Linked DNA regions of Cricetulus griseus. The protein of the gene in region 2 binds, or shares a complex with, the protein of the main gene of each other region. Links are inferred from orthologs where the notes say so. Each region holds a gene or a part of one and is shown on either strand. Other genes may lie near its edges. The genes, in order: microtubule-associated protein tau, Pin1, Cpeb1 and Smad2.

The links.
Region 1: the proteins of Pin1 (region 2) and microtubule-associated protein tau are in contact, whole or in part, in an NMR structure (PDB 1I8H), measured with the Homo sapiens proteins. The link is inferred for Cricetulus griseus from reciprocal best matches to the Homo sapiens genes PIN1 and MAPT. Residues at the interface, in NP_006212.1 of Homo sapiens: Arg17, Val22, Ser32, Gln33, Trp34; in NP_058519.3 of Homo sapiens: Val546, Arg547, Thr548, Pro549, Pro550, Lys551, Ser552, Pro553.
Region 3: the proteins of Pin1 (region 2) and Cpeb1 are in contact, whole or in part, in an NMR structure (PDB 2N1O), measured with the Homo sapiens proteins. The link is inferred for Cricetulus griseus from reciprocal best matches to the Homo sapiens genes PIN1 and CPEB1. Residues at the interface, in NP_006212.1 of Homo sapiens: Arg17, Tyr23, Ser32, Gln33, Trp34, Glu35; in NP_001352172.1 of Homo sapiens: Arg206, Ile207, Ser208, Pro209, Pro210, Leu211, Pro212, Phe213.
Region 4: the proteins of Pin1 (region 2) and Smad2 are in contact, whole or in part, in an NMR structure (PDB 2LB3), measured with the Homo sapiens proteins. The link is inferred for Cricetulus griseus from reciprocal best matches to the Homo sapiens genes PIN1 and SMAD2. Residues at the interface, in NP_006212.1 of Homo sapiens: Glu12, Arg14, Met15, Ser16, Arg17, Ser18, Tyr23, Phe25, Trp34; in NP_001003652.1 of Homo sapiens: Pro218, Glu219, Thr220, Pro221, Pro222, Gly224.

What each region holds. Positions count from the first base shown.
Region 1 is NC_048600.1:117,355,664-117,360,987, reverse strand, and holds part of microtubule-associated protein tau, read right to left. Parts: intron 3,844-5,324; coding exon 3,762-3,843; intron 2,577-3,761; coding exon 2,464-2,576; intron 1-2,463. UniProt on the Homo sapiens protein: Promotes microtubule assembly and stability, and might be involved in the establishment and maintenance of neuronal polarity.
Region 2 is NC_048597.1:133,533,699-133,539,506, reverse strand, and holds the start of Pin1 (peptidyl-prolyl cis-trans isomerase NIMA-interacting 1), read right to left. Parts: upstream 3,997-5,808; 5' UTR 3,918-3,996; coding exon 3,860-3,917; intron 431-3,859; coding exon 212-430; intron 1-211. UniProt on the Homo sapiens protein: Peptidyl-prolyl cis/trans isomerase (PPIase) that binds to and isomerizes specific phosphorylated Ser/Thr-Pro (pSer/Thr-Pro) motifs.
Region 3 is NC_048596.1:116,134,834-116,140,779, reverse strand, and holds the start of Cpeb1 (cytoplasmic polyadenylation element-binding protein 1), read right to left. Parts: upstream 3,824-5,946; 5' UTR 3,712-3,823; coding exon 3,337-3,711; intron 1-3,336.
Region 4 is NC_048595.1:163,599,076-163,604,945, reverse strand, and holds the start of Smad2 (mothers against decapentaplegic homolog 2), read left to right. Parts: upstream 1-2,051; 5' UTR 2,052-2,076; intron 2,077-2,430; exon of another isoform or gene 2,431-2,703; intron 2,704-2,832; exon of another isoform or gene 2,833-2,975; intron 2,976-5,870. UniProt on the Homo sapiens protein: Receptor-regulated SMAD (R-SMAD) that is an intracellular signal transducer and transcriptional modulator activated by TGF-beta (transforming growth factor) and activin type 1 receptor kinases.

The DNA.
Region 1 (5,324 bases), on a different chromosome or scaffold from region 2:
TTTTGGTTTTTCAAGACAGGGTTTCTCTGTGTAGCTTTGGAGCCTATCCTGGCAACTCACTCTGGAGATCAGGCTGGTCTCGAACTCACAGAGATCCTCTGCCTCTGCCTCTGCCTCCCGAGTGCTGGGATTAAAGGCATGTGCCACCAATGCCCGGCAAGAAGCCCTTCTTAAGAAATGATATCACAGGCCTGGGGAGGAGATGTCTTAGTGGGTAGGAGTGCTTTCTGTGCAAACACAAAGGCCTGAGGTCGAATCCTCTACACCTAAGTAAAAGAAGCAGAGTGTGTCTGCACATGCCTGTAACCTGTAACCTGAGCATTTGGGGATGAACACAGGTACATCCCGGAAGCTCACTCGTAGCCAGCCTAGCAAAAACAGTAAGCTTCTGGTTCAGTAAGAGACCCTGTCTCAAGGCAATAAGGTGGACAGTGATAGAGGAAGACAACCTGCTCTGGTCTCCGCATGTATGTACACGGGTGGGCTCACCTGCATATGCATGTACACATAGGTGGGGGGGGGGTGCAGACATACAGGGTTATAGCCAGGAGCCCAAAGGGAAGCAGAAAGCAGTCTGAGGCATGTATAGCAGTCTCTACATCAAAAGGGTGGATACAAAATGCCTCCACCTTGTTCTAGATCCCAGGCTTTGAGCCATGTGTGCACATAAGTATGTGACACACACACTGCATTTCCACACACCTTCTGAGGTCAAAGACCCTTGCTGGGAGCTTGAATGGTGGCATAGAGAAAAATCAGCCTTTCCTTTAGGCTGCATGCATATGCTGTTCTTTTTGGTAAAGAGGGATCTTTTATACTACTGTACTTGAGAGAAGCTTTGATTAAAAACCTTTGTGTGTGCATGTGTGTGTGCGTGCATATGTGTGTGTGTGTGTGTGTGTGTGTGTGTGTGGTCGCACTGTCCTGGAACTTGCTTTGTAGACCATGCTACCCGAAAACTCAGAGATCCACCTGCCTCCGCCTCCCAAATGTTCAGCAAATGCTGGGATTAAAAGCGTGCACCACTATGCCCAACTGCTTCTGGTTCCAAGAGACGTTCTCAAGTGTAGCCCAGGCTGGCACTAATTCTCTGTAGCCCGGAATAACCTCTATCTGTTTCTAGTGCTCCAGAGTTTCATCCAGGGCATAGAAGTTCCCAGGCTGGTTGAGAACTTCCCTTACCCAGGGAATCTCCAGCTCAGGTCTGCTGCAGCCCCACTGAATCAGACTGAGGTGGAACCAGGCCTGTGACTGACTCCCTGTGGCACCCGGGGGCCAATAGACCCCATATGGGAGCAGTATGTATGAGGCTTTGCATTTCAATTGAGTGGTGTGTGACAGAAATGGCAGCCATGTGTTGGGCACTTCAGCAGTCCAACGGATGCTTCATAGTACTACCAGGGGCTTTATATAAGCAGCAGATGCAGACACATGGCTGCAGAAGAAAGCAGGGTGCCGTGGGGACTCGCCAGGCAGGGGAATCCCAAGGGCCATCCAACAAGGCCAAGTAGAAAAACAGCTGAGCCACCTTGGGTAAGTACCCTTTCTCGTGCTAGGCTGGGTCTGATTCCAGGCCATTCCCTCTGTTCAGTCATTTGCTGGGAGGACCCTGCAGAGGAGGCTGCCTCCACAATATGGGGCCAGGCAGGTGTGGAGGTTGTTTATGCTGGAGGAAAAACCCTACAGTCACACCCTGTGTTAGGTGCAAGAGGAGCTTGCTTAGAGCCACGCACCTCTGTGTTCCCATACCCTGCACATATTCTCCTCAGCCTGGAGACCAGACACAGCTGGGAATTCGAGGCCCAGCAGCCCCAGTGTGAACACTTCTCTTCAGAACCCCTGTTTTTTTGGTGGTGGTGGTGTTGTTTTGGGTTTTGTTTTTTGTTTTGTTTTTGTTTTGTTTTGTTTTTTGAGACAGGGTTTTTCTGTGGCTTTGGAGGCTGTCCTAGAACTAGCTCTTGTAGACCAGGCTGGTCTCGAACTCACAGAGATCCACCTGCCTCTGCCTCTCAATTGCTGGGATTAAAGGTGTGCACCACCATTGCCCAGCAGGAACCCTGGGTTTCGTCTGTCTGTTTGGTGCGAATCTCATGTAGCACAAGCTAACCTGAAACTTAATATGTAGCTGAGGGTGGTCTTGAACTCCTGATCCTCCTACCTCCATCTGGGATGGCAGTTTAATGCCCAGTCTATGCAGTGCTGGCGATGGAACCCTGGGCTCTGTGCATGTTGGGCAAGCACTCTACCAGCTGAGCCACAGCCTCAGCCAGAGTCACTGTTTTGCTCTAGCTTTCTAGTAATTAGTGGAAAAGATCTGCCTTTGGTCTGGTGCCTTGTTCTTGGTACATTGAGCTGAGGGGGAGAATCTACCTCTAGGTAGTCCATATGGGACCCCCTAGGACCAGCCTTGTCCACTCCATTAACCCCCATATCCCCATGTGCCCCCCATTTGTCCCTCTTTACCTTCTTATTCCCTCCTCCAGGGACATGGGTGATATTATCCAAGGAACCAATCTTCGACTGGACTCTGTCCTTGAAATCCAGCTTCTCAGATTTTACTTCCACTTGGCCACCTCCTGGAACACAACCCACACAAGAGCCTCTTGTCATCTGTGATCTGGGGGACTTAGCATATATTAAATGAGGTCACAGACTGCAGAGCAAAGTGCCTGGGGCTTCTGAAGGCTTGATAAAAAAAAGAGGTCAGGTATCACCCTTCTGGAGGGGAACATTCACTAATGTGCCCATTCTGACTCCAACAGAGGCTGGCCAGTGATCACAAGAACAGCCCACCTTCTTGGAGTTGTCAGAGCTCTACTATATCTAAAAGGAGAATTAGGCACAAGGGAGCTCTTGTAATGGTGCCAAATCACCTGCCCCATCTCTAATCGAGATGCTCATCAGGTATTTACTCTGCAAAATCTTCCTCCTGAAATGGTTCAAAGATACAGGAAGCTTGGCCAGCGGAAGACATGCTGAGTTCTAAACTGGATGCCTTCCAGCGGTGGAGATTTTCATATGAACATCCTGTAAGCCACAGCCCCTCAAGACCTTGGAATCGTACTGCATGTTAAATGTACAATGAGGGGCTGGAGAGATGGCTCAGAGTTTAAGAGCTCCAACTGCTCTTCCAGAGGTCCTTAGTTCAATTCTAGCAACCACATGGTGGCTCACAACCATCTATAATGAGATCTGGTGCCCTCTTCTGGTGTGCAGATATACATGGAAGCAGAATGTTGTATACATAATAAATAAATTTAAAAAAATGTACAATGAGGAGAGACCCTACTCCTCTCCCTTTGACTTGGGTTACCACACCAGGGTGTGGCAGGAGGGGAGGTGAATTGTACTGCTTTCCTGGGAAGGGTGCTTTGTTTAAACAGTCACCATGAGAGTAGGACAGCAGCCCAGAAAGATCTTACATTATAGCCATTGATGAAGTCCCCCCATGCTGGCTGGGACAAGCCTGAGACATCCATATAGCTTGCCTTTGGGGGCCCAATCAGTCCATGGCTGGTCCTCTTTTACAGACTTTGCTGGAGAGCCACAAGATAGAATCTAGGACCAGCTTCTCCTTTTTCTCCACCCCTTGTCTAGGCTGAAAACACCCTGCTCAGGAGCCAGCAGAGACAGTCACATTTCCCAGGCCACACAGCACCTTCACATTTAATGTTCAATGCTCAGGTTAGCCTGTTCCAGGAAGCACCTGCCAGACTAGCCAGCACCTTCCTGTCCCAAAGCCTTCCTTCCTCAAGGGCTACCTGGTTTGTGATGGATGTTGCCTAATGAGCCACACTTGGAGGTCACCTTGCTCAGGTCCACTGGCTTGTAGACTATTTGCACCTGCAGGTCAGAGGGGGTGGGAATGAGACAGAAAACGAAGGGGGTTATGTTACTAGGGGGTGTAACACAATGCAAAGCCCAAAGGACCACTTGTCAGTGGCTCCCATTAACTACTGGATATACCCCACCCAGGGAGGAAAATATGCTCCCCAAATCCAGCCAATCCCTGTCCCCCAGGAAACTAGGTCCTCACAAAGTAACTATGGGACCTGAGCATATTCAATCCCAGAAACCCAAGAGACTCTCATGGAAAAGCAGGGTGCCTAGTCCCTGTGTGTGATCATGATCTCTATTTAGATATTAAGCATATAAACATAAATCCTTAACTGAGGAAAGACCCATCACACACAGTGGAGGAAGAAGTGACGGCCTATGCAGCCTCCAGATGATCTCCTTGGAAAGGACTCAGAGAAGAGTCGACAAGATGGGAGTGCTTCATCCAGGGAGCTCCCTCAGTCCTTGACCACCAGTTGGCAAACAGGACCCAGGACAGTGCTATGACTCAGGGTAAAAGTCACATGGTGTCTGGGCACACAGTCTCCTGCACACTTCATCCTCTACTGAAAAAGCAAAGCAACACCAACAAGGATGCAGGCACACAGTGGAAACCACAGGTTTAGTGTCTCAGCAAGCATGAGTGAGTAGACATGACACACAGGGAGACCTGCCTGCCCAAGAGGTCCTTCATGTGACCCAGCAACGACGCCTGCTCTGGGGAATGGCAGTTGCTTCCTGAGAGGACACCCTGGAGGAGGCCACCCCAGTAGAAGGGGCTCCTGGGAGCCAGTCTCTCAGAACTAGTCTTATAGGTTAGATAGCTGGTCACTAACTAATTCCAAATCCCATGGGTCTCCTATATAGACCACGAGTGGGGTCATTCCAGTGAGGGAAAGTGTCATCTTCTGTCCTGGGAGAGGGTTGGCCTCGTGTGTGAGAGTCAGTAAAGCAAGGTGGATGTTTTACATAGGTCTAAGTGGACAAATCCCTCTCATTTTCATAGATAGCTGTGCTGATGGTATGTTGTATTGTGTTGTGGGGTATGTGTGTGTGTGTTTCTTTTTTTGCTAATGGACCTGATGGAAAAGGAGGGCTGTGGCCTCACATGTCAGTCCTGGGGTGTCACCCTGCCCCTGTAAGGTGGGTGAAGAGTAGATGGTCCCGAGGACTTTCTGCAGATAGACCCAGGGTACAGTGGGAGTTCCGGGGCAGGTGATGATGGGAAAGCCAAGGGGTTGGCTCCCATGCAGGCGCATCTGCCCTCTGCAGCCCATGGGAGACAGAGACCTCCAAGAAGGGACAGGAATGCTACAGGAACCAGAGCCTCCCTCCTTCCCTCTAGCCCAGGTAGTCGCTTGAGAGTCGGTACCAGGGTGGGGCAGGGGTAAGAGATGATGGAAGCCTGAAATGGCCAGAGGAGAAAGGAATGTACAGGGTGTGGGGAGGCTGCCCTAGAGAGGAGGACACAGCCCAGCCAGGAGGTG
Region 2 (5,808 bases):
GGAGGCAAGAGAGAACAACTCCCAGGAACAGGGTCTCTCCTCCTACCACATGTATCCTGGGAATGGAATTCAGGTCCTCGGGTTTAGCAGAAATTGACTTTGCTGGCTGAACCCTCCTGATGCCCTTGTCAGGGTGTTTTGTCACAAAACAGGAAAAGATAGCCACACCCCTCCAGAGGACCCCCAACAATGCCCCATCTCTCCCACTCACCATTGATCAGCTCCAGGGCCTCTTCCTTGCTCCTGGTGATCTTTTCCTGCCGCCAGGAAGAGGGCCTCCGAGACTGGCTGTGCTTCACCAGTAGGTGCGAGCAGCGCACCCTGGCAGGCTCCCCCTGGCCATTCTTGCTACTGCCTCCAACACTGCTGCCACCACTGGGCCGCTCCCACTGGCTGGCGTTGGTGATGTGATTGAAGTAGTATACACGGCCTGGGGGAGAACAGCACCTATTTAGCTGAGGCTGGGTTGAGGAGGACTCTATCCAGAAAGCCAGGATGAGGACTGGCTTAGGAGGATGCTGTCCCCACCAGGACCTGTCTCAGACAGGACTGTGCTAATATTCTAGGTAGATACAGACACTAAACTAGCAAAACAGAAAAAACAGCTTCCAGGTCTGCAGGATGTCTCAGCAAGGAAAGGAATGTGTCAGAGTCTGAGAACCTGAGTTTGAACTCCAGGAATTGCCTAGTGGAAGGAGAACCCACCCACCCCAAGATGTCCTCAGGCTACCCTACAAAATAAACATGATCAAAAGTTCAAGAACATTCTCAGCTATAGTTTGAGAGCAATGTTGACTACATGGGATCCAATTTAAAAAATATACAAACAGCCAGGTGTTGGTGGCTCATGCCTTTAATCCCAGCACTCGAGAGGCAGAGGCAGAAGGATCTCTGTTGAGTTTGAGGCCAGCCTGGTCTACAGAGCGAGTTCCAGAACAGGCTCCAAAGCTACACAGAGAAACCCTGTCTCGGAAAAACTAAACCAAACCAAACAAAAATACCATGGGGCTGGGATCTAGCTTACTGATAGAACAGTGCTTGCCTGGCATTTGTGAGGTTCTAGTTCAGGTTCCAGTATCAGACATTCACCAAAAAGGTAAGTATGGCGGTTTCTATCCATCGCTCCACTGCAAACAAACCAGGCTTCACCTCCCACCTCTGCTCACAGCAGCAGCTATATCTTGTGCACAGACAGAGGCAGATACCTCAAAGGAGGGGGGGTTCAAGACAGGGTTTCTCTGTGTAGCTCTGGCTGCCCCGGAACTCGCTCTGTAGACCAGGCTGGCCTCAAACTCAGAGATCCACCTGCCTTTGCCTCCGGAGTGCTGGGATTAAGGTCGCACGCCACCACTGCCAGGCCCAAAACTTTATTCTTAATCCTTACCCTGGTGGCCTAAATTGAAGAGCAAGAAAGCAGCATTACTGGGGGGGTTGATGTCATCTAAGGGACATCTAGGTGACAGTGAGGAGCATAAAGAAGGTAACTCAAAAGCTTAAGGGAAAAGCCTGGCTTGATGGGGCACAGTCTAGAACTAGGGAGGCTGAGGCAAGAGGATAGGTGTCTGCTGTTTGAAGCCAGTCTGGGTAAGTTTGCAAGACTGTCTCAAAAAAACGTGAAGGAGACCTGGTTGTGGTGGTATACACATGTAGGATTTGCTGAAGGAGGTGGAGGCAGGAGGATCACAAATTCGAGGCTAGCCAAGCAGTGTTGACACACACCTTTAATCCAAGCACTTGGGCTGCAGAGGCAAGGGGACCTTTGAGTTCAAGACTGGCCTGGTCTATAGAGTAAGTTCAGGACAGCCAGGGCTAAACAGAGAAACCCTGTCTCAAAAAACAAACAAACAAACAAAAAACAGGAAAAGGGGGCAGGGGAGGAGGGGAGGGAGAGGGACCAGGGATTGACATATAAAACAATCTTGTTTCTAATTTAAATTTTAAAAAATTAAAAAAAAAAAAACAGGAAAAAAATAGTGAAGGAGGAAAGAGGAGGGGCAGTGAGGGACATGGCAGGAGCTTGAAAGAAGGACCCAGTAGATTCTGGGTCACTCCAAGGGCTTAGAGTCTTTCTGGGTTACATAGGTGACTCAGCATCAAGAAGGGCCGGATGGCTGGGTGGTGGCAGCTCAGGTCTTTCCCAGCACTCGGGAGGCAGAGGCAGGTGGATCTCTGTGAGTTCAAAACCAGCCTGGTCTACAAGAGTCAGTTCCAGGACAGCCTCCAAAGCCACAGAGAAACCCTGTCTCAAAAAACAAAAACAAAACAAAAGTCTATGTAGCTCAGGATAACTATGAACTGGAGAACCTCCTGCTTCTGCCTCTTAGGTACTGGAAATTTATCTACGTGCTACCACACCCACCTAGAAGTATGTTTATGCTTAGGCCAGGAATGGAGCAGCCTGGATAGGAGCAAGGACTCTAGGGCTAAATACAATAGGCCATCTCCCTGAACCTCAGCTTTCTCATCTGAAAAACTGGGGCAAGAGAATAAGGACATCAGAACTAGGCATGGTGGCACATGAGTGTAGTCTCAGTGCTTGAGAGGCTGAAGCAGAAGAACCATGAGTTAGAAGCCAGCTTTGGTTACACAGCAAGACTTTTATCTTAGTGTGTGATAGTAATCCCAGCACTCAGAAAGGTGAGGGTGGGGACCAGAGGTTCAAGAAAGCAAGTTCAAGACTAGTCTTCTCCCCCCCCCTCTCAAATTTAAAAAGAAAAAAGAAAGAAAATAGCTGTGGGTAAATGTGTTTGCAGCCACGTCTGAGGATGTGAGTTTGATCTCAGGTACTCTCATGGTGAAAGAAAGAAAAAAAAACCTCCTGCAAAAGTTATTGTCTGATCTCCACAAGCATACACACAAAATATACTACTACTAATATTACTAATAAAGATTCTGTCTCAATAAATACATTGGGCAAAGTGGTGCATGCTTATAATCCCAACATTTGAAGGGCTAAAGCAGGAGGATCTAGCAACCTGTCCACGTGAGATCCAGTCTAACACCCTTTCACCTCCCCCTCCCAAACAAAAGGGTGAAAGACACATTAAACCTAGCCGCGTTAATTCAGAGAGAGCTAATGTATACAGTGTCCAGCACCCTGGTGCTCAATAAGAATAAGTGAGCTCTGTAGGCAGCAGGACCCTGGTTCTACCGGAGATGCCTATCCGCTCCTCAGGGCGTTGCCACTGACACTGGCAAGGGGACTCTGGCGGTAGGAACTCACTGCATTCCCAGTCCCTGAACTGCATCATTTGGCGAGTTCTTTGCGTGTCCTGGCTTCAGTTCCCTCACTAGAAAAATGAGAGCAAACCATCCCTTGAAAGACGGGCACGACAGAGAAACGGGAGAGAGAGAGGGGAGACCGGGAAAGGGAGAGGATGAGCCAAGGAAAGAGGGAGGGAGAGAGGAGGGGGGGGCAGGACGGAGATGAAGGGATCTAGGGAGGGTGGGGGACGTACAGACTTGTGAACGAACTTGAGCTCCTTTAAGCCAGCGCTGTCGCAGGATCCCGTGCTGGAGATGAGCCGGCACGTGTCACAGATGCTGCCCCAGAACCCAAATCAGGGCGGCCCACGCCCTCTAGAGGCACCGGGTCGGGTCTCCTCCTCCCAAAGGAGCCCCGCGGTGCAGCCTAGTGTCCTGAGGACGTCCGGCCCGGTGGTGAGCGACGGGCCGGCGTGCCCGTGCCCGCCCCACCTCTTGCCTCGGTCTCTGGCTCTCCGGGCCCGTTACGCCGCGGAGCCCAGACCTTCACGCCTAAGGCAGGGCGCCTGTCCTCGTGAGCTCGGGCCCGCCTTCTGCAATCTCGCGAGGGCCCGGCCCGGCCCGGCCCGGTCCCTGGCCGACCCCCAAGACGTACCTGAGCTACGACTCATGCGCTTCTCCCAGCCCGGCGGCAGCTTCTCCTCGTCCGCCATCTTCCCTCCTGCCGCAGCGCCCGCCCCGCCTCCGCTCCGCCCCGCTCCGCCTCCGCAGCTGTGACCCCGCGCCGGCCCAGCGCCACTGTCGATTGGCTCGCCCGGCTCAGACGCCCGTTGGACGGCCCCACGGCGCCGCTAGAGCGCTAGCATTTTATTGGGCTCACTCGCGGCTTCCTGGACCGCCCCTGCACACTCTCCGCCCCCCCGTCCCGACACCGCCGCTGATTGGCCCACCTGGAAGCGTCGCCCATTGAACGCTCAGGATTCCTTTAAGCGTCAAAAGGTCTCTGCAACCTTCTTGGTGGGCTTAGCCCGCAGAGTAGAGCTTATTGATTGGCTCCTGCGGCAACCAATCCCGCCTTATTGAGCCGTTCTTGGAGGTCGGCCAGCCTCCACGCGGAAGCGGCTCGCTGGTAGGGAGGTATTCGGTACTTTTGCTGTATTTTGCCGTTGCCATAGCAATTCAGTTGCCTTGGTGATAAGAAGCCAAGTGCCCAAAGCCTAAATTTGGCTTTTTGGTTCTCTTCCCACCTGTTTCCTCCAAAGCGACGCCAGTCCTTTTTGGGTTTTGCAAGGCTAATCATTTCTTTCTTTCTTCTTTTTAAAGATTTATTTATTATGTATACAGTGTTCTGCCTACATGTAGACCTGCAGGTTAGAGAGGGCACCAGATCTCATTGCAGATGGTTGTGAGCCACCATGTGGTTGCTGGGAATTGAACTCAGGACCTCTGGAAGAGCAGGCAATGCTCTTATCCTCTGAGCCATCTCTACAGCCCCAAGGCTAATCATTTTACCCACTTTCCAAGTTTTCTTTAGAACCTACTTCAACTTATTCCTTCTCTGCCTGACTCCTTCCTAGGTTCCTGGGCTGGGCGATGGCATTATCACTAGGATGAAGAAAAGGAATAGGCTTAAGTCAATTGATAGTCTGTGGAGGAAACTGATGTGGTGGTGCATTCCCAGCACTCAGGAGGCAGAGGCCAGCCTGGTCTATGAAATGAGTTCCAGGACAGCCAGGGCTATACACAGAAACCCTGTCTCAAATGAAACAAAAGCAACAACCCTCCCCCCCCCAAGAAAAAGGAGAGAAGGAAAAAGGTCTGCGGAGGGCTACAGAGATGGCTCAGTGATTAAGAGCACAGACTGAGCCGGGCGTTGGTGGCGCACGCCTTTAATCCCAGCACTCAGGAGGCAGAGGCAGGCAGGCGGATCTCTGAGTTTGAGACCAGCCTGGTCTACAAGAGCTGTTCCAAGTCAGCCTCCAAAGCCACAGAGAAACCCTGTCTCGAAAACCAAAAAAGAGCCTGGACTGCTCTTGCAGAGGACCTTTTCAGTTCACCAGGTCTGCACATGGTGCACATTCATGTATACATGCAGGCAAAGCATAACACTTTACAAATGTTGCTTTATGCCAGTAATAGCAGCACACACCTTTAATCCTAGCACTTGGGAGGCAGAGGCAATAGGATCTCTCAGTTTGAAGCCAGCCCAGTCTACAGAGGGAATTCCAGGACAGCCAGGGTTACACATAGAAACCCTGTCTCTAAAAACCAAAAAGTGACTTTAAAAAGCTATTACACTGGGCTGGAGAGATGGCTCAAAGGTTAAGAGCACTACCTGTTGTTCCTAAAGGTCCTGAGTTCAATCCCCAGCAACCACATGGAGACTCACAACCATCTGTTAATGAGATCTTCTGCCCTCTTCTGGCCTGCAGGAATACATGCAGACAGAACACTGTATACATAAAAAGCAAACAAACAAACAAAAACACCAAATCTTAAACAAAACAAACAAAAAATCCTATTACACTTCATAAGGAAGGATGCCATGTTAACCTTGTAGTTAGAGGACAATTTATGGCAATCTATTCTCTCCTTCCACCACGG
Region 3 (5,946 bases), on a different chromosome or scaffold from region 2:
CAGTTGAAGTTCCTATCTTTACTAAAACCTTCCAAGCATGGGTAAAGAAGCTGCCTTGTTTATATTAGAGCCTGTTTTCTCATGTAAAAAGCCAAATGCTAAAGGCTTTGAATATACTCACTCCTCCTTTAAAGCCTTAAGAGCAAGATACAGAAATAAATGTTCCTTCTAGACCCTTCCAACCTCTACTAGCATGACTAGATATAATGCTGACATAAAGATACTAAGCCTTGCCCAGAATTAAAGACCCAGTCCCTCATTCCTGGGTAAGGGTCCTTTTATGCCCTGGGAGATTAACATTTACAATTTTACAATTTTCTGCACACACAAAAAAATCAAACAACAACAAAACCCACCACCAATAGAAAAAGCCCAGCCCAGACTAAGCCAGGTTTATTACTCAGGAGGAGGCTGCTGTAGGTGGGTTGGGAGTTCAAAGTCAGCCTAAGTCACATAAGGAGACCCTGCAGATATGGTACCCAGAGGAGGGAGAGAGTGAAAGAAAGGGGGGAGAGGGGAGGGGGAGGGAGGGAAGGAGGGAGGGAGGGATAGAGGGAAGGAGGGAAGGAGGGAGAGGGAGAGGGAGTAGGAGGGAGAGAGGTACAAAATTTTAAGTCTTACTAATTCTTGGAAATCTAAGAGGCATCACTAGAAGAGTTTTAGTTAAGACAGAAAAAGTGAAATTAAACATCACTCTACTTTTATCAGTCTTAAAACAATTATATAAAATTTGAGTGTTGGCAAGATGGCTCAGCAGGTGAAAAACACTTGAGTCTGGAGCCCTAGGACCCTGTGCTGAAAGGACAGAATTGACTCCTGCAAACCATTTTCTGATCGCCCCACACATGCACACTCTGGCATGCACACAACTTCCAACACACAATTACTAAAAAATACAATAAAAATTAAAACCAATTATATCATTTCAAATCTGCCTTGTCTGAGGAAAAAATTACTGAAATTTTATCTATGTTGAAAATGAAAGTCTTTTGTATAGAAGGTTGGGAAGAGCCTTTCTTCAGACCTCTGGCTCTCGGGATCATCAACTAACTGCTCTGACACATCATGGAATGGTAGACACAGCACATTCCTTCCAGGCACTAATGCTCACAAGACCTATACTGACTTCCACAGCAATAGGAGAATGCTACCACTACAGTTAGAGTTCATGATGTAAAAATGGGACCAGCCCACAGACCCAGTCATCCATCACCAATAACCTTTTGATCCTTGACAGGCACACAAGTAACTGGTTGGGATAAAGCAACAAAAAGATCCAGGATCTCATTCCATCACTTAATAAGCTTTGGGAGTTGATATTTGAGCCTCAACTGTAAGACAGGGAACTCTATATAGAGATATCTACAGACAGACTCCAAACCAGTTTTCAGGTTGAACCCAACCTTATTGTTATTTGGTTATTGCTACACTTAAAAGCCAGGGATTCATCAAAATGGGGGGAGGGTGTCAAAGGTCCACCAACTCCGGGTGTGCAGTTGTTTTTCAGTAATCAGTTAATGACTGTTTCTTTTAGAGAGGCATATACATATACACTATAGGTCAGTGGGTGCTACTCTTCCCTCATCTTCAACTCATTTTACCGTTGTATAATCCGGGTTTATAATCCTCCTTAAGGATGTTTTACAATGAGTCGATGGTGCGTGATGAAAACACTTATTGAGGCAGTTATTATCAATAGCTCTTTGTTAACAGGTTTGGTGTTGTTCTTACCATCGTACAACTTCTTCCTTCACACTCTGAGAGGACCTCAGGACCATTCCTAACGACAAATGTCCCCATGATCATTAACTGCCTGTGTCAGCTCTCTAACTCTTATCTGTTCCCTTCCACACTGGGGAGCCTCTTGCCAGGAAGCTGTCTGTAGAACAATCATTGGGAGGGGATGCAAGTGTTTTTATACTCAAGGCTGACTTACCTATATCTGTCAGCTTTCTATCAACAGAGCATTCAGTGTCAAATAACTTGAATTGAGATAACTGTGCAAACTCTGGGGTGGAGTGTGGTAAACCATACAGAAAATGCTCTGTGAATCCCAGGCAAGTTATTAAAAGGAAGGGTAAATGATCAGTGGTGAATTCTGAACACTACTATCCTTAGGCCTCCTGACAGACTGGAGCCCCCAGTATGCATCAGAAGTCAGCCGTCCATCTCTTCTACATAACAGGAAAACAATCACCAGCTTGTATTTCTGAGGTTTTGTTTTGCCCGTTTTTCTTTCTTTCTTTCTTTTCTTTTTAAACACACAGTTCATATTCCTACACTCACACAGAACAGAAGCAAGAAGTGAAAACTCTCATCAGCACAGTCTGTGTTGGTACATGTGGGCCCAGTCACCTCAGAGATGGCCTGGAGAAAGCCGGTACATGCATGCCTTCCCAGAGCACTAAACCCGACCCACTTGCCTTGGCCCCAGCAAATGACGCAGACCAGCAGTTTATCCAGGTGCCAGAAGAGAGTGGGGAGGCAGCACGGTAGCCAGGGAGACCAAAAGAAGCAGTTGCCAGAGAAATGCGTTCATCAGAGTCGGCCTGGAGGCCGCTGTGGGGGATGGGGAGGCCTGAGGCAGGCAGCCCTGGGCTAATCCGGGTCTCGGGTGCTTCCGACTTTTTCCACACGCTTAATTCTATCTGAGGGCAGAGTACAGTGGGGTACAGCCTGCAAGACGCAAAGGGCTACTCCAGACCATGGCGCTCACACACGAAGCTGCACAGTTCCCTGGAGCCCAGGTGTGCCATGCTTCCTCGTGTTGAGGGCCACTTGCAGGAACTGTGGCCTTATAGGGTCCCCTGGAAAGGGAAGCTCAATATCGTGGTGACTGGAACCGCAGAGCAACCCACGCGGGTGGCAAAGGCCCGAGCAACACACGGAGCGAGCGGCCCACCACCAAAGACACTTTCCTGGCCTGGGTCCCCTTGCCTCAGGGATCCGAGGCAGGCGTGGGCCTTTCCCGGGGTGGCGTCTAGGCCCCAGTGAAGCTGCCTGTCAGCCCTACCCCCGCCCAGCTCCCCCAAACCTGAGGCCATTGCTGGAGGCCACGCGAACCCATCTACACTCCGACACCCCCAAGTTTGGGCACCTGGCCTTGCCGCCTGAGAAAAGCTGAGAGACACCCGCGAGGCCACATGAGCGCGTCTGGCCAGGCCGCAGAGTGAGGAAAGTGGACGCCGCCGAGGAGGAGGAGGACGACGACGAGCAGGCTCCACGCCAGCGCCCCCTCGCGGGCTGCTTGGCTCCTCCTCCCGGCCCGCGCCCCCAGACCCGCCAGGTTCCCGGGGCTAGCCCTCGAAGCCGGGTCACACGCACGCGCGACCTCACCTGGCCCGCTCCACCCTCAGGGCTCGGGCTCCAGAAGCAATCGAACGTGTGAAGCCACGTGACTTCCCCGGGCTCGGAAAGCGCGCGGCCCGCACGAGGGGCCCGAGTCCTCGGCTTTAAAGGAGCCATATCGGCGGCGCCGTCGTGGCGCGCGTCCCCGAGCGCGGACCCAGCCTGAGGGGCTTCCGCTGCCCTCCGCGCCGCCCGCCGCGAGACGCCAGCTCCTGCCTCCCACGGGACGCCGAGGCGGCTCTGGAGAGACGTGAGCCGCCGGCGCCGCGGGCCGCCTCGGCTCTCACGTGCGACGGCTGCGGGAGGAGGAAGTGTCGTGGACGCCCGGCTTCCCTTCCGCGCGGCCAGCTCCCGTCTGGACATACGTTCGAGGCCACCGGGAGTCTGCAAGCGCAGCTCCGAGGCCCCAGCGGCCGCCCCCGGAGGGCCGCGGCGCCTTTAAGCCCAAAGGCCTGAGTCACGAGGAAGCTCCCTGCCCCCCCTCGCCCCACACCGCTCCACGAGGCCCACGACCGTGGGCATGTGACCGGCGCCCCGCCCGGGACGCTCGCCGGGGCGGCGGTGGGGGCCTGTGGGGCGGCGAGACAGCGAGCGGACCGTTAGCTGAGGCAGCCGGGACAGCGGCCCCGCCCCGCCCCGCCCTGGCGGCTCTTACCAGAGAGAACGCCATGGGGTCCGGCGTCGCCCTGAGGGACCAGCGGGCGGGCGGCGGGCGGGCCGGCCGGCCGGCGGGTCTGTGCGGCGCGGGACGCACACACACGTGGGCACTATTTTTGCAGCGAGCGGCGCGCGACTCCGCGCCCCGGCGGCTTATAAAGCTCCGCACAGGCGCTGGCCTGATGAGGAGCACCTGTGTCGGCCCCGCCCGGCCTCGCCCCGCCCCCGCCCCCGCCCCCTGCGCTCCTTCCAGCCGTCCATACCCGCGCTCCACCGCCCACCCTGGGCCTGGGGACCCAGGCGGGGGCGAATTCCGAGGCTCAAGCCGCTGCAGGCCACCTCTACCTCTAGGAGCCAGGAGATCCAGGCCTGAGCACGCCCCTCACCCAGAGATCCAGGCCAAGTCACTCTCCCGCAGGCCTCAGTTTCCCTCACTGATCTACAAGCCTCTGCGATGCAGCTGCGGTGGTGATGTGCGGCCTCCTTAAAACCGTATAACCACGCCCCTCCTTTTCTAGTGACCTCTCGGATGGAAGCCCCATTGCACGAACCCAGCACCCCCACCCCCCACCTGCAGCAGACACGCCCTCACTTCAGACCGACTGCAACTGCATCTCCGGCGAGCTGGACCAGGGAGCGCAGGCGTCAGGGGATTCCGGAAAGTTCCAAAGACAGCAGCGATCCTCTTTGGATTGCAGTTCCCTGTGGGAAACCGCTTCCGACGCTCCCGCCAGATATGATAGAGCGCTTTACTGAGAAAATTCGGGGCAGGAGATCAGGGTGAGCCCGGCTGTTGTTTAGAAAGGCGTCATGGGCCAGCTGGGGCTGGAGCGGACCGGAAGCCCAAGCGAGCGCAGAGGCGGAGATGGCATTCCGGGCTGGAGACCAGGGAAGGCGGAGAGGGAGGACTGCACTGAGCGGCCCAATCTGACTAGGATTCAGCTAATGCATGCTGATACCACAGGAGGGAAGCCTGAGCCCAGTTTATGAAGGGCTTTTATTCTGCAGCTAGCTGGAAACTAGTAACGAATGGAGAACAGAGCTTGGAAGTTGTTTGTCTCTTTTAAGGTGTTGCTGGAGACTTAGAGGTTGGCACTGGAGTGGATAAGAAAGGGACCAGAGTTTATTGAACATTTCTAAGTGGTTTATATGTTACACTATTTATTAAGCACGTATTATACTGAAGGTTTCTCCTGACAGGTAGGAAAGAAGACGCTGCCAACTACTGGAAGGTTTGTGAGGCAGGTACTGTAGGTTTCTGCCCAGGGTGATAAGAAAGGATGCTTATGGCTCTAGTCTAGTGTGCTGTTCTGAGGAGAAGAGGGACAGATGCATTGAGTTGAGGGAACTCAATGACAACGAGGACTAGCTAGTCTTCATCTTCGTGCCTTCCTAAGAGCTGCTGTCCTAAGTAGAAAGGGTGATGTCTGTAGGGGAACCCATACCCCTAGGAGCAGCCCACCCCCAAGTCCCATCTTGGGCAGCAAGCAGCATAGGCCTGATACTCCAAACCTTATGTTTCTTGCTTGTCTTCTCTCCCTCTTCTGAGAGAGTGCTACACTCAGATGCCTACAACATAGGAACTTTAAGTGAGGGTGTGTGAGGTGCTTGGAAAGCCCAAGGCACACCTGGAAGGGCTGGTCAGCCAGCCATGTTGGCTTAGGCCTGTCATCTCAATACTATCAAGGATGAGGCAGGAAGATTGCCTTGCATTGGAAGGCAGCTAAGAACTACTGTTTGAAGAAAGTCTGCCTCAAAAATAAGTGGAAGGGATGGTTAGCTGATAAGCATCAAGTATGTCCGAAATGTGAATTTTAAATCCAGGGTCACCATGTACCTTCGTGGCTGCCAATTTGTGATCCTTCACATCCCGTCCTCCTTGGCCCCAAAGTTAAGCAAGATAAGAATCTGAGACTTGAAATGGCACCTAAAGGCCTATGG
Region 4 (5,870 bases), on a different chromosome or scaffold from region 2:
ACTTATACAATAGGGACCTACTTATAGATCTTCAGGTACCCTAGTGGATTTCCAAGCTGATCGTTGCCATGGTAATCCTTGTTCCATGTGCCTTCAGTTTCTCTTGACCCACTTTGGTTTAGATGCATTTCTAACCAAGGGGATAGCAGGCATGCTCCCATTTCAATTCCCTTGGAGACTACATTAGTAGCCATGCTGCCCCTATCCCTTCCTTCGGTCCTCTAGATCTTCTTGAGCAGTGGTTCTCAACCTTCCCATTGCTATAACCCTTTTATACAGCTTTTCATTTTGTGGTGACCCCCGACCATAAAATGATTTCCTTGCTACGTCATACCTTTAATTTGGCTACTGTTATGAATTGTAATGGAAATATCTGATATGCAGGCTATGATATTGTTAAGAGCCACTCCTCTGTATCTTGGAAGGCTTTATAAATGGAGGAGTTATGATCTCAAAGAATGACACCTTGGAGAGATGGTTTAACTCCAATTCAAGAAGAATCTATGAAGCTCGGCTTTCCCCTTCCTCTTGACAACTACTTGTGTGCTGCCCAAATCCACATATGAATCATACAATTATATTTTATGATTCAAGACCATTTTTAACAGGCCATTCTGTATTAAGACTGTTGATGTCTATCAGTATAAAGAAGGGTTGCAAGTCAGAACCAGTTTCCCTACTTTTAACTTGAGTATCATTTGCCTTAACCACACACCCAGGTGGCCTTGGGAAGTTGAGACAAGGGATCTCCTGAAGTGGTGCCTCTCAAACTTAACTTTTATTTTGGTGGTGCTGGGGGGTAAACCAGGGCCTAGAGTGGGCGAGACAAGAGCTCTACCAATGAAGAACATCCTCTGCCCACAAACTATTAAAATAGGAGTTATGTGGCCTTCCTCTGAAATTGTTAACAGAAGAAACACCCAAATCCCTCTGTGCAGGTGAATTTCTGCTAAGTCCATGTTAGCATAAATATCTGTTCACAAAGGGAAGTTAATGATCCTTAATTTTCCTTTAGTTTCAAAGTCTTGTTCTCTTTATTTCCATTTATGATGTCATCAGCATATAACTATGTAAGTTGGTGTTATCATTTCGAGTACCACTTTGTCAAAAGCCTTGGATTTTTTTAGAGCCGAATTGAAAACTATGACTGGCTTATATGTGGGATTCTTCACAACTTTCCCATGAGAATAGTGGCAGAGATTTTGAAAGCCAATTTAAAAAACCTGTAAGTCTAGAGGCATGACCAAATAACTCAAGGTCCAAATGAAGGTCCCTTCTCTAGGATGTCCTCACATATGAGAACAGGGAATAGTTCACTCTTAACTGCTTCAAGTTCCAGGACTGCTTTGTATTGCTAGGAGGTTTGCTGGATTAGCTTGAATCTTCCAGGAAACCTATGAAGAGGTAGGTAGGTGGGTATATGCGAGCACGACAATCAGCCAAGGAAAGTGTCTTATGGTATTGTCTTTATCACTAGCAAACAGAAAAAGACATTTCAAATTTGGGTTTATTATGCTTCCTGTCTAACACAGGTGCTTAACACTGGAGGCGATTACTTGGGGTTCAATCTTTGTCTGCCAGGGTGAAGTTAAAATTACCGATGAACCTGGTTACGCCGCTGTGGGTAGTCTTAAGTTTGGGGACTTCCATAGGTAAAGGTGACAAGTTGGGGCCTAGGAACAGGGCATAGTGAAGGTAAAACCAGCTAGGGACAGCAAATCCAGGGGCACGCTGCCAGGTGCTCACACTTTACAGTGAGCATTCGAAACAGGCATCATTAATTAATACTTCGACTTCAGAAGGACTCAAGGTTCGGGTTGGAGAAAAACACCTAGCTGCTGCCTAGCCCTATCCCAAACCGCACCGACAAGAGAACTCTCTAACTCCGCGGTTTTTCGCACCCCCCACCCCCCAGGCCCCGCCACAAGGCCCCGCCCACCATTTGCATAGGGCGCACCCCTCTGCGGCCAGCACTCGGGTTTCTCCCGAGCTCTGCCGGCCCAGAGGCTCAGACCGGGTTGGGGGCGGGCCCGGGCCCGGGCCCGAGCACGTGTCCACTCCGGCCTCACGACGAAGGTGGGCGAGGGCTGGGCCGCGGCGCTCCACCCAGAGGCGCCGGGGTGGGGGGGTGAGAGGCGGGGGTCTGCGGGCGTGGCAGGCTGCGCGGCCTTCCGCGCTTCGCCATGAGCCCCGTGGGAGCGCGCCGGACACGAACTCAAGCGCAACCGCGGGCGTGCCACCCCGCCCGGCCGCGCCTCGCCTCACGCTCGACGGGGAAGGCGGGACCAATCAGCGAGCGACGTCTCCCTTCCGATTCCAGGCCCCCGACACGCTGCTCACACCCCGGGCTCCCCGCTCGCTGATTGGCTGGCGGTGCCGCCGGTCGGGCCGGAGCGGGAGGCAGCGGCCCGCCCTGCCCCGCCCCGCTTCCGGCCCCCGGCCCTGCCTGCGGCGCCCGGCCTCCTTCCGACCCTGCCGTGCTCCCTCCGTCTTCCGTGCGCGTCCCGCTCGGCCGGCGTGCCTCACGCCTAACGGGCGGCCGCGGGCGCCAATCAGCGGGCGGCAGGGTGCCAGCCCGGGGCTGCGCCGGCGAATCGGCGGGGCCCGCGGCTCAGGGAGGGAGGCGGGGCTACCGCGCGCGGCGGCGGCGGAGGATCAGCTCGCCAGCCTGCAGCTCGCCAGCGCCAAGCGAGCCGCCCGGAGGTAGGTGCGCGGCGGCCGGGGCGGAGGGCGGCGGCGCGGGGTGCAGGCAAGGCCGGGGCGCGGGACGCGCCGAGTGGAGCTGGCGGCGCCCTCCCACCCTCTCCACCCGTCCGCTCGGCCGCGGCGAGCGCGGGCCTGGGGCGGGCGGGGCCCGCGGCGCAGTTCCGCCTGCGCGCGCCCACTCCTCCGGCAGCGCAGAGCCCGTCGGAAGAGGAAGGAACAAAAGGTCCGAGGCTCGGCTCGGACGGGGCGGGACCTGGCACTCGGTGCAGGTAAAGCCGGGGCGCCGGGAGGACCGGTCAGGGGTGTGCGGGGCCGGGTCACGTGGCCGCCCGTGTGGGGTGTGGCGGGCCGTGGCGCGCGGGCCGGCGGGTCCGGGCCGTGCAGGGCCGCGAGCCCCCGCCCCGCCCCGCCTGGCTGCGGCCCGCTTCAGTCCCGGCGCGACCGCACTCGCCGTTTGCGTTTCAGAAGGGCCCGGGAGCCGAGTTAGGGGCGTGTGGTAGTTTGTTTCCACTTTTTCCTTTTTTTTTTTTTTAATTTATTTTTTCTTTTCTGTAGCCTTTGTTAACCGTAACTGTCGCGGGTTCCGAATCGCTCGCTCTGTGTACTCACAAACACGCTCGTGGCTGAGACTCCCGGGCTCATCCTCCACGCACTTGGGAAAGTTGCTCCGTGGGTGCAGCCTATTAGTTTCTAATCACACGCCTTTCGGAGGCATGCTAATTGATTGCACATATTTCAGACTTGGTTTTCACAATAGGTGCTTGGATTTATTTTGTTTTAGGTTTTGTATTCTTACCCTTGCATGTTATGGTTTCCTTGAGAACCTAAACAAAAGAAAAATAAAAATTGAGGGTGGTTTTGTTACTCCTTCCTTTTGCCCTTAAAGGCAAAAACTACCTGTTTGTTGTCAGACCAATTAAAGAAAAATACACCCGGGTGAAAATAATTCTGCCTTACTTTAGGCCTTGTTGGGATATTCTAAATGATGATGTTTTAAATTAATGATAGACGTGAATAAATGAATCACCAGCCAAATGTACCTGAAGATCTTTTAAAAATGGTACCCTGATATGTCAGTTTCCAAAGTCCCTTTTAGTTTTTTTCTGATTTCAGTTGTCCTGGTAACAACATACAAAGGATGTTTCCTTTGAGCCTAACACAAGAATACAGTTGCTGCCTTGCTGGAAATATCTTTACTATTAGTTTACTTTGATCCCTGTAAAAAGCAATTTCCCCCTTTACAGAGAAGTGTTAAGTAGTCAAAATGAAGTTGGAATAGTTTCAACTCATGAGTTAGTGAAGCAGATGGAATCCAGACATGGGAGAAGTATTATAGTTTAAGGTCTTTTTTTTTTTTTTTTTTCCCTTTCATTTAACTATGAAACAACTCCATAGAGAATTTTTTTTTCTCTTAGGTCATTTGGAAAATGTTTATGTTAAATTCATAAAGTAACACTGCTGTTATTTTTAAATTTTCTTTTTGTTTTTGCATAAACTTACCTGGGTGGTAAGAAAAATCGTTCAGATCTTTGGACATTTGTAAAGTGAGTGTCCACTTACATGCTTAATGTTAAAATCCAGTTTACTTAATTGAATTTAAGACTGCTCACTGACCGGACTTAATTACTGTACTGTGATTACAAACCTCACTTGTGTTCCTTAGCCAGATACTGCTCCTAAAGCTTGGTGTTTTCTATATTGTAGCTACACCTAAAGTGATTTCATGTTGTAAGTGTTCAGCAAAGTTTGGTCTTCAGGGTTCTAAGGTACTTGTCACTAAACAGCTATGCAATCTGTATGGTTCATAAAGTAATAGTCTTGGGAGAAACTGCAGAGTAATTTCCTGTTTGTGGCCTGTTAGGCTTGGTTATGTGTTTGAACTCTCAGTAAGACTGTTGGGGCTGGTTTTGTACACAGTCCTTCCCTTCAGGTGAACAGATGTGCTACTAAAGCTGGTAGCAAGCAATCCCCTTCTCTGTTTGATAGCTTTGATACTGTAGATAACGAAATGTAACTGTAACCTCAGGACTTTGCATTAGGGAGATTGTGAGTGAACAAACAAGCAAATTAACTCAGTTCAGCTGTATGAACTGGTGGCTAAGGACCTTTTGGGTTTTTATATTTGTCAAAACTTTCAGATCTGACTTTTGGGCCTGTTCTCCTGGTTTAATGCTCTGGACTCCAGAAGGCTGTTTGTAGCAGCCTTTTTTATACAGGTGCTTTTGTAGTGCAGGCAGGAGCTGTATATAGTGCAGTCTGGCAGATGGAGGTTTATTCATATTCTTTGGACAAGAATCCTTTTTAGGGGGTGGAGAGAGGCATATCTTTTTAGATGCTTTGTCTGAGTAGAAGCAGAAGAGACATTTTTAAGACCTTGGTTTCTGCACTTACAGGTGCAAAGATGTTTTCCACTAAGTATTGCAAAGGTGTGTCAGAAAAGTGACTATAAAGAATTAAGTATCATCACTCTACTGGACAAGTAAGACTTGCTCACTACACAAACTTTTTCAGTGGCTAGTTACACCAATATTCCCTAGTGGAATTGGGAAAGTAACAACTCCTCATGTCTCGTGGCCAAGACCCCACAGTGAGAAAATTATGTATAAGTTGTATCTGAGCAGTCAATAAATTCTTTCATAGTAAGTTCTTTAAGTATACTTGCACGTGTAAAGGGTGGCACTAGGGGAGATGGGATGTCTCTTATGTCACTAAGAACAATCTCTTTGTTGGGGTGGGGGTAGTGTCTGCCACTTTTTGCAGTTCATTCAAACTGAAGATAGGGCTGATATTTCAGAAACGTGCTTGTTGAGCAGAGATGTACAGTTGCTAACTTTACTTCTGTCTCAGTTTCATTAACCATTGCTCTTAGTTAAAGAAAGTGGTTAAGGAAAGAAAAGGAACTTGAGTCATTTGGGTTCCAGTGAAAGGAATATTGTATGCAAATAGTTGAGCCAAGAATACTGATTGGGCAGCATTGTCATGCAGTTGAATGGCCTTGGAGTTTGGATTCAAAGCCCTAGGGCTGGTATTTGGTTTCTAGGTTGTGGTATTGGTAAATTAAATTCCCAAGTCTTGGTTTTCTTACTAAAAGTGAAAGGAGTAGCCTTTACCTCTTAAGATTGTTATAAAATTAAGTTGAGAACATTCTTTGAGACAGGATTCTG